Caenorhabditis elegans: one gene and its partner. The protein of the gene in region 1 interacts with the protein of each later gene in a pairwise test. Each region holds a gene or a part of one and is shown on either strand. Other genes may lie near its edges. The genes, in order: R02F2.5 and scrm-8.

Region 1 (6,557 bases):
CTTCTCCTAATTATTCTATTTGATAATATTTATTAGAAAAAAGGAAAAGATCTTTGTATTCTGATCACGGGCACGTAGACTTGATAAGAGAAAAATTGAAACTTTAGAACAAGTATTAAAATCTCTGTGAGAGGTTGGTGTTCATGACCGTGTGACTGGTGTTACTTAAACTATGCTATGCTTTGGTGGTAATTTTTTTAAAGCCACGCTCTATAAGGATCCGGCACTAAATTTTCCGGTTCTTCCAGGTGCCTGCCTCCGACATGAACATGCTCTACTGGTCCGATGAGCTGGCCGCTTCAGCTCAACGCCACGCGGACACCTGTGATTTCCGTCACTCCCGTGGACGCATCAACGTCGGCGAAAACATCTGGGCGGCGCCGTACAGTAACTATTCTGACGCTATCTCGATCTGGTTCAACGAGGTAATTTCAAATATTTTTCTATTTTCCTTGCATCTTCCATAATTACCATCAATCTTTTGTAGGTCCATAATCCAAGATGTGGATGTAACCATGCCTATAAACACTGTTGCGGTCACTATGTTCAGGTTCTATTAATCCCTTTTTCTAAGTGTACAAATTAAATAAAATCAACTAATTTAGGTTGTCTGGGCAAAGACGAATCTCGTCGGATGCGGCTTCTCCCGTTGCCGTGACGTTCAGGGTGTCTGGGGACGTGGACATCGTAACGTATTCGTCTGTCACTACAATCCACAGGGAAATACGGTATTCGTCACTGCGAGAGGACAGCTTTATGCGGTTCGTACGTCCTTGTCTCCCTCACTTATGTTATTTTGAGTTTCTTGCTAACCGTTGCTTTCGCCTAATTTGAGTGCAGTGAATTTGGTTTCTTGTGGGCTGGTGTCTCCTTTGGCTTTGCTGAAGGTTGTTGATTGAAATTGTCAATTGGTGAAATGTACAAATTATCACATTTTGTCCGTTGACAATATTTTGATCCGACCACTCTCCGCTAAAAAGCAAGGGTTTAAAAAATAATTGTTAAAAATTGAAAAATTGTAACTTGGTCAAAGTAAGAGTTATTAAATGCATTATTGGCAAATGTAGCAGTTAACAACTTTTAAAATTCAATTTTGATGAAACTGCGGGAAGATCAAACAATTTCTAACTTAAACATTGTAGATCTCAAAATATTTTTAAAAAACATTTTAGTTGACAATGTTTTGATCTGACTGTTCTCTGCTGATATCCAGCAGTTCCGAGTTTGAAAATGTTAAATTTTTGTTCGAAATCTTCAAACGCCTTAACTTTGTAAAAGTAAGAGTTCTCAAAAATTGTCAACTGGTAAATGTTAGTCAAAAAATGTTTGAATAAATTGCCAATTGCCAATTATTTAATATTTACAAGCTCCGCAAGTCATCGTTTGAATAAGGACATCTTCAAGATGTTTTCCATTTCTAACCATTTCTAACCGTTTGAATGATACAGTTTCAAAATTAATAGTTTTCTATTTTCGTTAAATATTTTCAAGTTTTCGTATTTTTGCAGAAGGACCTAGAGTCCGCAGAAAACAGTATAACAGTATAAACTTTTTCTTGTAAAAAGATTTCCCCTTTTTTAAATTGTTTTGAAACTTATGATTTTCAAGGAGATATAGCTGTTCAAAAGTGACCCCCTTCAAATTTGCTAGATGATTTGAAACTCAATTTGAGCAATTTTCTTAGTTGACAACTTTTGGTATTGCTGATTTTCATTAAAAAATTGGAACTCAGTTCTTATTTTACCAAAAATTAAATATTAATTTTCACTGAACTCCTTATTCCAGATGCCAGCTTTCACCTGGGCTTCCGGTGACAATGGAAAATGCTCCAACTGCCCAGCAAATGCTCCAGCCTGCTACCAAGGGCTCTGCTACATGCCAAAGAACTACGAGGCTCCGACTACAACAACGGAATCCACCACAACATCTACAACAACTGAGGAACCAACGACAACTTGTGAGCCCGATGAACCAGAAGCTGAGGGAGCTGACAATAATCAAGAAGAAGAAGAAGAAAACAACGACGGGTTCCGAATGAGAGTTTAAGCTTCTTTCATGGTACCCTACCTTCTCCCACATTTAATACCGGATGAACTACTTGGATTGCTTACCGAACGGGTGTGCATACCGCTGCATTTATTTATTCATTTATATATATAGGTGTATGTGTATGTATTGGTGATATACCGAGATTTCTACGAATTGATGATATTCAATAAAAACTACAGTACAATTCTATCGTTTTTATCAACGTTTTTATCAGCGTTATTATCAACATTTTCAGGTCCATACACCATTTTGAGCCTACAAGCCTATCCGCCTATCTCACTCCCTCGTGCCTACCTGTGTTTGCCTTCGCGCCTTCCTTGTTAACCCCTATTTTCGTGAATGTTAGCTGTCTCAAATTGAACTTCATTCGTGCCTAAATAATAATAATAAAAATCTGGAAAAAAATAATTTAAAAAGTCGAAAAGTTTAACATTTACGTGTAAAACTTTCCAAAAATCAATTTCAAACTCAAAGAAATTCATTTCTGAAAGCCGTGAGAAAATGGGATGCTGCGGTTCAAAAAACAAGCAGAATAGTAGGAATTCAAATCGAAATGGACAACAAATGGTAGGTACTGTAGGATTACGCTCTGCAGAACCAAGTTTCGATTGGTTTACTGTAGTGGTACGGTAGCGGGTTTCATAGGTTTATTGCAAGATTACGGTAGCTCATCGTTGTAATTACAGTGTTACTGTAGTAATACTGTACTTGTACGCTTAAGCTTGCATCAGCTTTCGCTGCGAACTCTTTTGAAACCAAAGTACTACGTGTTGTTAGGGGTACGGTTGGCGCAGGTTTATTACCTGGTTACTGTAGAGTCACTATAGTTTTGCACACCTTTTACAATCTCGACAGCATTCATTTTTAGAGATTCCTCGTCTCAAAAACTATATTTTCAGAATCAAACCGGAACCCAATCAGGCCCCTATCCTGCCCAGAATCAACCTCAGAATAGGAATCAACCTCCACCTCCACCTCGACAGCAGCAGCAGCAACAAGCTCCACCTCCCAATGGACAGAAGCCTCCACAACCTCAACGTCAACAACCGTCTCCAGGTCTCCCGTACCAGCCACAACCGCCTCCTGCGTATGGGGCTCAACAGCCATACTATCCACCGCAACAGCAAGTCGTAGTGGCTGCTCCTCCGCCAGTGGTCATTGTGGATCCTTATCCATGTTATGGAGGTGGAATGTACTACGGTGATCCATTCTATTGTGATCCGTTTATGTTTTAATCGAGATGTCAAATGAAAAGTAAGAAGAAGATGAAGTGACTTGAAAATATTTCCGATAAGAAATAATTGATAATTGATCCTTTTTTTGCAATAAAAATAGTCTGAGATTGTTTTCTAAAAATTAGTTAATCGGTCCGAAACTGGCAAATTGATCCACCAAAATTTATCCACGGGAAGTGTCGACTGCTGGCATTAGAAAAAGGAAAGTGTCGGCCGCTTCCATTTCTGCGTGAACGCCTTGCAGTTATTTTTTTGGAAATGATTTATTTTTCAAATGTTCAAACTTGCCGCTAAAAAATTTTATTCCCAACTTACTTTATAATCAAAAGAACTCAAATATATCGATGAAAAATGGGATGCTGTCAATCGAAGAAAGCTAGAAATAATCAACGGAACAACCAACGCTCGGACCAAATGGTAAGTCTCCAAGTTTCATATGAGGTGACCGTGCCTGCCTATAATCCCTGTTCCGGGTTCCATAAAAAAAACTGAATAGACACAAGGCAGACGAAGGTCGCCTTGAAGTCAAGCTCAAGAACTCCTCCTTGTACCTCAACTTTTCAGAATCGTCAGCACACTCAACCATCTCCAAACGCCTCGACAGAGCAAATGGTAGGGAAAATCGATAATTTTCCGAAAATCAATAAAAGAAAATATCGATTTTTCAGGCATACCCTCGACAGCAGCCTCAAGGGATCCCACAGGGACCTCCACCGGCCTACGCACCTCCAGCAGCACCGAAAGCTCCTGAGAAAGTCGTGGAGCCCAAAAATAGGAGAGTAACGATTGCAGAACCACCGGAGAGAGTTGCGGAGCCATCACCAACGCCTGAAGATCCAGAGCTTTTTACTTGCATCGACCAAACGGAGAAAGAGGTTGAAAAGGAAGTGGAGAAGAGAAAGTCTGCTCCGCGAGCCCCAGTCCCGGCACCTACACCAGCTCCTCAGGCAGCTCCCCAGGCAACTCCGGCTGCACCTGCTCAAGCTTACCCTCAACAACAACAAGCTGCTCCCGTGGTCTATGGATCCCAACCAATGGTCATGGGTGCTGCTCCGGTGGCTCCAGTTGTCATGGCTCCGCCGCCAGTGATCATGAGCCCTTATCCATATTATGGAGGTGGTGTTATGTTCGACCCATATTATAATGGATTTTATGGAGGATATGGATACGGAGGTTTTGATTTCGGGTATGGAGGATATGGTGGTTATGGATGCGGATTCTATTGACTTTTTTGAACTCTTTTGTGTTTTTTTGGAATAAATTTTTTAATTGAACACTTAAAAATCAACAGAACAAGATGAACAATCAACAACATAAAAATGGATATTATAACAAAAAAAACAATTAATAAATTCGCTTCGAAGCCCTCGTGATCGTAGAAAGGAACTTCTTGTATCGGGTTCTCTCAACAACTGGAAGATTCGTGGCGAGCAACGCGGATGCATTTTTATCGGCCAGTGAATGTAGTTTTGACATGGCAAGTAGACTGTCTGATCCATAGAATACTGCGTCTCCAATGATTGATGCAGTCAGCTGAAGAATAAAAATTTAGACCGTTTTTGAGAATAATTGAAGGTTTTTTTAAAATTTCAATTTAGTCGTTTTTCTTGGTAACTTTTACCAAAACATACTCAACAAGCTCCCCCTAATTTCGAAAATTAATAAGTTGACAGAATTTTTAAAAAAAATCGAGTTCGAGAAGAAATAGTGATTATTACAGATTATTTAAAATTAAAATGTCTATTTTCTTCTTTAAAAAAAAGGGAAATTTCTCAAGAAATACTAGTTCTCATTTTTATCAATTTGACAATCCTGAAAAAAAAGATAAAACGTTTTAAAATGGGTTTTCAAAAAAGAACTTTAATTTTAAATGTTTTTTAAAACTCTTCTCCAACTTCTACAATTTTTCTTCTTTTTTTTCAATATTTAAAAACTAGAAAAAAATTTATGTAATTTGTTATGGGGTTATTCAAGTAGTGTCGGAAAATTAAAAAGTGTAGAAAAATTACGTCACAACCTTATTCAAGTAGATAAAAACATGTATTTAAATACATTTGTGACGTCACAAATGTATTTAAATGCATTTTGCTACATTACTTGAATAACCCCATTAGACAAACGACTCAAAAAATAGTGTTCACGATTTTTTTAATATTAAAATTCGTATAAATTTTTTTAATTATCGACAAATGGACGATGTTCAAAAAACAATTTTTCAAATTAAAATACTTTTTTAAAAATTTTTTTCAAAAATAGTTTAACCATCGAAAAACTCCCAGTTTTTGATTTTTTATTTATTTCGAGTTTTCAAGAATATTAAATTTTTTCTAAAATGTTCAAAATCTTACCATTGCAAAATACGATTCATTCCTCTTCATTGCATCTACTAATCTTGCCAAATCCTGACTCAATTTATGACGGCGGAGCACAAATTCAGTTTCCATTTCAGGCGAAAGTGTACGCGACGCGACCGCGTTCAGACTATTCCTCACGAATTTTTGAGAATTCTTCAAAACTTGGCTAAAAAGTTGACAGAAAAGTGCAGTGAATGATTTTAGCACTGAATTCTTCGCCGATTTCATTGCTATATCAAGCAGATCAATCGTCTCCACAAGTACTGTAAACCATGATTCATCAGATTTCTCGGTTCCCGGAGCCCGATCCATTTCAGTCCAACCGTCGGCAGCAATTCGTGAAAACACTACTTGAACAGCTAATGATTCCAGTTGACTTCCACCATACATTTCAATTATCAACTTGAAAAGCTTCATCTCGTCAATGCTCTCGGCTCCAGGAATCTCTTCGACGAATTTTACAACAGAATCTGCAAAAAACTTGGGTAAAAGAAATTATTTTTTTTAATAGTTGTAATTAAAAATGATTACCAAAGACTTCCTTTTTCGTCTCCGCTGTATGAACTCCTTGGAGCAAGCTTAAGGCTTCTGCCACTGCAAATTCCGGCTCTCGGAGCTTCTCAGCGACATCCGCGGCGGTTCTATTCACAAATTTGACTGGAGCAGCTTCCTGAGCCACTTTCTTGAAAACCTTCAAAATATTCTCATTTTCAGATCCCTTTCCTGCTTTTATCAGCTTTTCCAGAACGTCCTTCGGTAGAGTTTTCAGGATTTTCTCGCAAAAGTTCCAGTTATCGAAGATTAGTGAAATATTGATTGAAAGAAGGGCAAAAGCAGCCGAGAAATTGTCGTTTTCCGGTTTTTCTGTGACATTGTGAAGGAAATCCTGAAGATTTTCGAGATTTTTAAGCTTCTTGCT
Region 2 (7,168 bases), on another chromosome or scaffold:
GACTTCTGAAGCAATTCATCACAGGAGCCCCGAAAATATCCATGCACTGCATAGCAAAGTTGCGGTGGGATCCTTGATGTTGGCGAGCAAAGAAACTGGATCTTTCCATACAATAGAGCAGCGGACGGCAGTACATATCGTGGACCACGTAGCGATTGGGGGTCTCGATTCCGGTGAAGATCTCGAGTGGTTCAAGGCATTGGACAATCATAAGGGAGGTGGTTTGAGCCAGGACGTCGAGTATGGTGTGAGGGGCGAGGTCCACGAATCCCTGGAATAATGTTGGTTTAGATTGAGGATTTTAAATTTCCCGCCAAAAAATTTTCTCAAATGTTTCAAATTTCCCGCCAAAAAATGCTCCAGAAGATGTGATTTTCCCCCAAAATATTTTTCTCAAAAATTTGAATTACCCGCCAAAAAAAATTTGCAGAAATTTTCAATTTTCCGCCAAAAGTTTTCACAATAGCCATTCATCTGATCGGTTTTCAAAAAAGATTAACGATGACGTCACTCGACAGGCCCCGACTACAAGTGGTGACGTCATATGTCCCAGTTTTTGGGTATGACGTCACTAAAAAACAAACAAACAATATGCAATGATAGTACACGGGCTTCTTCCTCGCAGCGATTTTTGCGCTCCATCGACAATCGCCACGGACTGCAGGTGGGGAAAAACCTGTACTCCACATCAAAGAACCGCGACGCGACACGCAACGCGACACGCAACGCGATACGCAACGCGATACGCAACGCGACACGCAACGCGACACACAACGCGACACGCAACGCGAGACGCACCGCGACACGCAACGCGACACGCAACGCGACACGCAACGCGACACGCAACGCGACACGCAACGCGACACGCAACGCGACACGCAACGCGACACGCAACGCGACACGCAACGCGACACGCAACGCGACACGCAACGCGACACGCAACGCGACACGCATCGCGACACGCAACGCGACACGCAACGCGACACGCAACGCGACACGCAACGCGACACGCGACGCGACACGCAACGCGACACGCAACGCGACATGCAACGCGACACGCGACGCGACACTCGACGCGACACGCAACGCGACACGCGACGCGACACTCGACGCGACACTCGACGCGACACTCGACGCGACACTCGACGCGACACTCGACGCGACACTCGACTCGACGCGACACGCAACGCGACACGCAACTCGACACGCAACGCGACACGCAACGCGACACGACACGCAACGCGACACGCAACGCGACACGCAACGCGACACGCAACGCGTCGTAAGGTTACTCACCGTCATCTGAACCGGCATTGCTGCGACCATATTCGGCACCTCCATCGGAGTATCCCGTGGCTGTGGAAGTCTCCCGCCGCCACGCATCATTCCAGCTTCCGCTCGGCTCTTCGGTGGCTCCTTTTCGGATTTCTCAGTTGAAGTCGCACAGCTGACTGGCTGCTCTCCGGGTTGTTTATTCATTTTTATTGGTTTCTGGAAAAGTTGGAAGGTTTTGGGGTCCCAGAAAGAAGCGATAGAAAACTCACATTCGATGACGATGAACAATAGTAGGAATGGGAGATTATGTTGGGAGAAGATGTTACGTGAGGGGTGGAAAAGGGGTCACGTTGAAAATTTGAATTTTCATCCAGATTACAAAGCTTTTTTTTTAAATAAAAATCAACTACTTCTTGGGATGTACGGGAAAAATCTAAGCACTTGTGCCCAAAAAACAGAATTATCTTCTGAAAAAAGTGAGCTTGTAATTACAGAAAAGCTAGCTATAAAACTGTGGAGAAAAAACTAGTTTATTCTAGTTTGCAAGTGAAATGGGCTCATAAAAAATTCAAAAGCTGCTATGCATTCCGCCATGCATCCCACCATGATGATGACGATCCTGGTTACGATCCTCAAAGTAGGTGAAGTCGATCAAGAAAACCGAGGTGACGAGCAGAAGCTTCAAGATTGGCGGCATGTCCATTGGAACTGAAATATATCGGAATTCAGATAGAATTCGGATCTTAAGAACTTACAATGAACAATATAGGTGTCCGCATCGGTGAACATCTCCTGCATGAATCCCGGGTAGAGGCGGACGATTTCTCCGACGAGTGCGCCATTGTAGGTCATAACTGGAAATTTCTGAGTACCACCACAGCCAGCACAAACTGGAGATTGGATGAGCAGGGGCTGGTTGCAGCCGGATCCGATGAGCTCGAACTAAAAGAATCTAGGACTAGCAAATGAAAGGTGTTAGGTATAAGAATTCCCTTGTGATAGCTCGGAACAATTTAGATCCCTAGATCATCGACTAACAACCCTACTTTCACAAAATGATCGGCATAGGACGTGGCATTGTGGTTTTATCGGGGTATCATGATGTCCCATATGATCTACAATATTGAGACGCACAGTTTTGGCACACTTTTCTGGGCGGAAAACACCCGCATTTTTTGTAGATCGTACCGGTATGAGACAGCCTGACACCACTTTAGGACTGTTCACAATGTATTGTTAAAATGTTTCCTATATTCTCATGCCTCTATAAATGTTAGGGTACTGTAGTTTAATGTAGTACTGTAGTTATTACTGGCGGTGGTTATCGTCCAAAACTCACGTTAGGATTACAGCACTCCCTCTTCATCATCCCAATCTGCTGATCGAGGAACTGGGTGCTCAGGAAATCATCGCATGAGCAGCATGGTCTTCCTCGAAAGCAAGTCATCACCTGGGCTCCGTGCGTATCCATGATCTGCATTCCGAAGTTACGATTGTTTCCGTGGTACTGACGAGCAAAGACGTTTGATCTTTCCATACAATAAAGCAGCGGACGACAGTACATGTCGTGGACCACATAGCGATTTGGAGTCTCGAATCCGGTGAAGATCTCGAGCGGTTCGATGCATTGGACAACCATCAGAGAGTTGGTATGGGCGATTGCGCTGAGGATGTTGTTGCTGGCAAGCTGAACGAAGCCCTGAAAAGTCAGAATTTAGAGCGGTCACCATTAGCTAGAATGACTTACAGTCATCTGAACCGGCATCGCTGCCACCTGATTCGGAATTTTCATTGGCGTCGATCTCGCCGCTGGCAGCTTCGTTCCAGCATTGTTTCTTCTACCGAACCCCGCTCCCTCGGCACGTGGCTCATCCTTCTTTGAATCCTGCTCAACCTCCTCAGGTGACTTCACCGCGGACGTTAAGCTAATTGCTTTCAATGGTAGCTGTCCCGGTTGAATATTCATTTTCTGAAAAAATTATGCGGGTTTTGAGGGAAAACCAAGAGAAATAAGAAAACTCACATAGAAAAGTGTTGGTCACAAGTCGGAAATAAATTAATTTTGAAAATCTGATCTGATTGTACTATGTGGAACTTCACGTCAGATTTAAATTTCTGTTGGAAAAAAATAGGAAATTATCTGCGGAATTGTTGTCTGCTGCACGTGTATTAGTTATCGCAATTTTAACAAGTCATTTGTGCCCAGAAAACGCAATCTTTTGCTGAGAAATTATCAGCTAGTAGGTATAGTAAGAAGAAGCCAGAAAAAACTAGTTTATTCTAGTTTGCAAGTGAATTTGTGAACAGGATCCTTTATAAGTTTAGAAGCTGCTATGCATTCCGCTATGCATTCCGCCGTTACGATGTTGATCCTGGTTACGATCCTCGAAGTAGGTGAAGTCGATCAGGAAAACCGAGGTGACAAGCAGAAGCTTCAAGATTGGCGGCATGTCCATTGGGACTGAAATATTCCAAAATTAAGATAGAAAAGATCAGAAGCTTAGAATAAAATGCTTACAATGAACAATATAGGTGTCCGCATCGGTGAACATCTCCTGCATGAATCCCGGGTAGAGGCGGACAATTTCTCCGACGAGCACACCATTGAAGGTCATCACTGGGAACTTCTGGGTGCCACCACAGCCTGCACAACCTGGAGATTGGATGAGCAGGGGCTGGTTGCAGCCGGATCCGACGAGCTCGAACTGAAAGAAAAGGTTAATAGGATGTGTCTCAAGGAGGATGGGAGATTCAGGTGAAGAGCTAATAAAGCTTCAGCCTATAGGAACGATTGCTCTGATCAGGGGTGTGCGGCAAGTTTGGCGAATTTGGCGAATTTGCCGCGTTAAAAATTCAGTAGTTTTGGTGCTTCAAAAAACATCAAATTTTTCGGAGTTAGTTGAGCTCGGCAAATTTGCCGAGTTTGCCCTTGTACAAGGTGTCATGCTAGTCCCGATGTTGCCGTTCAGCGGTATATAGATATAGATCTATAGATCTACGTATAGTGCAATTGTATAGTGCAATTTATATCTGTAACTTGGTACATTGGTGACGTACGGTCCTTCCGCCTTGCTCTGTGTTTCTCTCTTTTAGTGTGTCAATGCCTAGCCGCTGGGCGGCAGAGCAAAGGCGTGAAACCTGTACGTCTATGTACCAAGTAATAGGCTTTCTAGATAAACATCTTAATACTGAAAGACATTTGGACAGTCTAGTAACCTATAGTCTATATCTATGTCAGTACAAACTTGGCACATTGCAACCTACAGTCCTTCCGCTTTGCTCTCTTTTGTGTATCAATGTCTTGCGGCTGGGCGGCAGAGCAAAGCGGAAAGACTCTAGGTTGCTATGTGCCAAGTTACAGATATATTATAGATCGGACTATAGATAGGGCATCAGGGGTGTGCGGCAAATTTGCCGTTTGCCGAGCACTGCAAGTTTCAAAATTTGCCGCACAGCCCTGGCTCTAAGCTCGATCAAGATTGATGCAAACTCAGATCAGCGAAAAGATCTCTTTTGAGAAAAATGTGATTTTTCCAAAGAATGCTTCAGGGCTCTGGATTACTGTAGTTTTACTTGATACTAGCACTCACATTAGGATTGCAGCACTCCTTCTTCATCATCCCAATCTGCTGATCGAGGAACTGGGTGCTCAGAAAATCATCGGTCGAGCAGCATGGTCTTCCTCTGAAGCACGTCATCACCTGAGCTCCGTGGGTATCCATGATCTGCATTCCGAAGTTACGATCGTTTCCTTCGTACTGACGAGCGAAGATGTTCGATCTTTCCATACAATAAAGCAGCGGGCGGCAGTACATGTCATGGACCACGTAGCGATTCGGAGTTTCGAATCCGGTGAAGATCTCGAGGGGTTTGATGCATTGGACAACCATCACAGAGTTGGTATGGGCAATGGCGCTGAGAATGTTGTTGGCGACAAGTTGGACGAAGCCCTGAAAAGTCAAAAGTTAAAACGATCACTATTAGCTAGAATGACTTACAGTCATCTGAACCGGCATCGCTGCTACCTGGTTCGGAATGACCATTGGCGTAGATCTTGCCTCTGGGAGTCTCTTTCCACCACCTCCACCTCCTCCGAATCCTGCAGCCTTGGCACGTGGCTCTCCTTTCTTCGAATCCTGCTCCGGCTCAACCTCCTCAGGTGACTTGGCCGCAGACGTCAAGCTAAGCGATCTCAATGGTTGCTGTCCCGGTTGTTTGTTCATTTTCTGAAAAAATTTTGCGGGTTTTTTGGGGAACACTGACAGATATAAGAAAACTCACATATCAGATCGTTGTTCACTAGTCGAAAATGAATGAATTTCAATCGAAGGGAGTATTGATTTTATTTGTTGTTTCGAAAATTGAATACGTGGGGAAAAGGGATAGGGCAGAAAGGGCAGAAAGTTCATATTCACGTTTGAACTTATCTAATTTATTTAAAAATTTATTTATTTACCCCGTGGCTCCAAATTTTCTAGAAACTATGAACAAAAACATCCCGCAGCTCTTCCAAAACTTTCTCGAATTCACCGATCTGAATTTTCGGTACTGAACAAAAACTAATAGATTTTCAATGGTTAAGCAGCCAAACTATATATTCGTTTTGTGGATCTTCAGTGAAACACTGAAGATGACTTTGCAGCATGAAACCTGAAACCAGTGGCTCCTGGCAACCAGCACAATAAATTTGGAGCTCGAAATCAGTACTTGAACAAGCAGTGATAACTTGTCAAGCGTTCGCTGAGTCTCAAAGTTATCAACTAGAAGAATGCACATCGACATGTAAATTCTTCCATACAGGATAGTGTGGCAGAATTTTAATTTCTGCAAAATTACTTTGAAACAAATTTTTATCAATCTCCCAGACTAAAAAACTTTTGAAGTGTTATCTGTTGAAATGTGTAAGCTATTGGAATGTTCAAATGTTTATTCAAATGAATTGCAAAACTTGGCATTTAGTCAGCATATGGTGGCCAGTAGTCAATATCGCTGAAAAAAGTTATTTTTCTGATGAACTAGCACTAACATTATCTTACATCGCAGCGTATTGTCTAATTTGGAGTTTGATTGGCGTATTGTCAGAATATGAGTACTCAAGTTTCATGTTGTAGATAGCAGCATCGAGGTTTCCATAGCCTGCTCGAATTGTGCTATTTTTCTGAAATAGCTAACGTATATTCCCTGTTAGTGAGGCATAGGATTACTGGAGCCTGCTCTCGAAATTTATTGTCTTATCAAACAGTTACTGAAGTTATAAAACGGCCACAGTCCCCAGCTTGGGTGTGGCTTAAATTACCGCCCAGTAGGATCACCACCAGGTATTACAAAAACAAACTTCGACCAGAAAACAAAAAAATTTTTGGTCGAACTTTGGACCAAAAAACAAGAAACAAAAAATCGAAATTTTCAAAAAAACCAACAAAAAAAAACTAAAAAAAACAAAAAACAAAAAAAATTTCACGGTTTGATATCAAACGGGACAAAACAGGAATTTTTCATGAAATATTAAAAATTGAACACACGAACGATTGAACAAGGTTTTTTGTTCTCATTTGTTTAATTTTTTGCTGAATCAGTGTTGCAATTTATTTTTTGGTTTTTTTGGTCTCAAAAAACCAAAAAAATCAGTGCACAACGCTTGAAAAACGGATCGACCTTTAATCCTTTAATCATTTAGTCTCTAATCGTGAGGTTATTACTTTCAAAGGTAGTAACCTCAAAAAACGGTATCGTATGAGTACATGTAGGAAACGTTACCTCATTGGATGGGGATCCTGGATATCCATAAAAACCACCATTGGTAGATGATGAAGCATTGTACCAAGAAAGGTAAAATGATTGGAATGTATCAATGGGACCTCAATTTGTAATATTAACAAGTTATGATAATCAT

What was found.
Region 2: the proteins of R02F2.5 (region 1) and scrm-8 interact in a two-hybrid assay, tested with the Caenorhabditis elegans proteins (2 studies listed by BioGRID).

What each region holds. Positions count from the first base shown.
Region 1 is NC_003281.10:5,475,769-5,482,325, forward strand, and holds R02F2.5 (Prion-like-(Q/N-rich)-domain-bearing protein), read left to right. Parts: upstream 1-3,549; 5' UTR 3,550-3,635; coding exon 3,636-3,701; intron 3,702-3,848; coding exon 3,849-3,896; intron 3,897-3,952; coding exon 3,953-4,510; 3' UTR 4,511-4,560; downstream 4,561-6,557. Other genes in the region: Protein lon-1, read left to right, coding at 249-425, 488-550, 606-761, 1,786-2,046; R02F2.10 (Prion-like-(Q/N-rich)-domain-bearing protein), read left to right, coding at 2,551-2,616, 2,949-3,284; R02F2.6 (uncharacterized protein), read right to left, coding at 2,914-3,156; R02F2.7 (Myb-binding protein 1A-like protein), read right to left, coding at 4,629-4,817, 5,633-6,108, 6,170-6,557.
Region 2 is NC_003282.8:4,160,852-4,168,019, reverse strand, and holds scrm-8 (Phospholipid scramblase), read right to left. Parts: upstream 3,329-7,168; 5' UTR 3,299-3,328; intron 3,245-3,298; 5' UTR 3,242-3,244; coding exon 3,023-3,241; intron 2,975-3,022; coding exon 2,615-2,974; intron 2,218-2,614; coding exon 2,031-2,217; intron 1,984-2,030; coding exon 1,844-1,983; 3' UTR 1,790-1,843; downstream 1-1,789. Other genes in the region: scrm-5 (Phospholipid scramblase), read right to left, coding at 3,597-3,736, 3,794-3,980, 4,866-5,225, 5,274-5,498.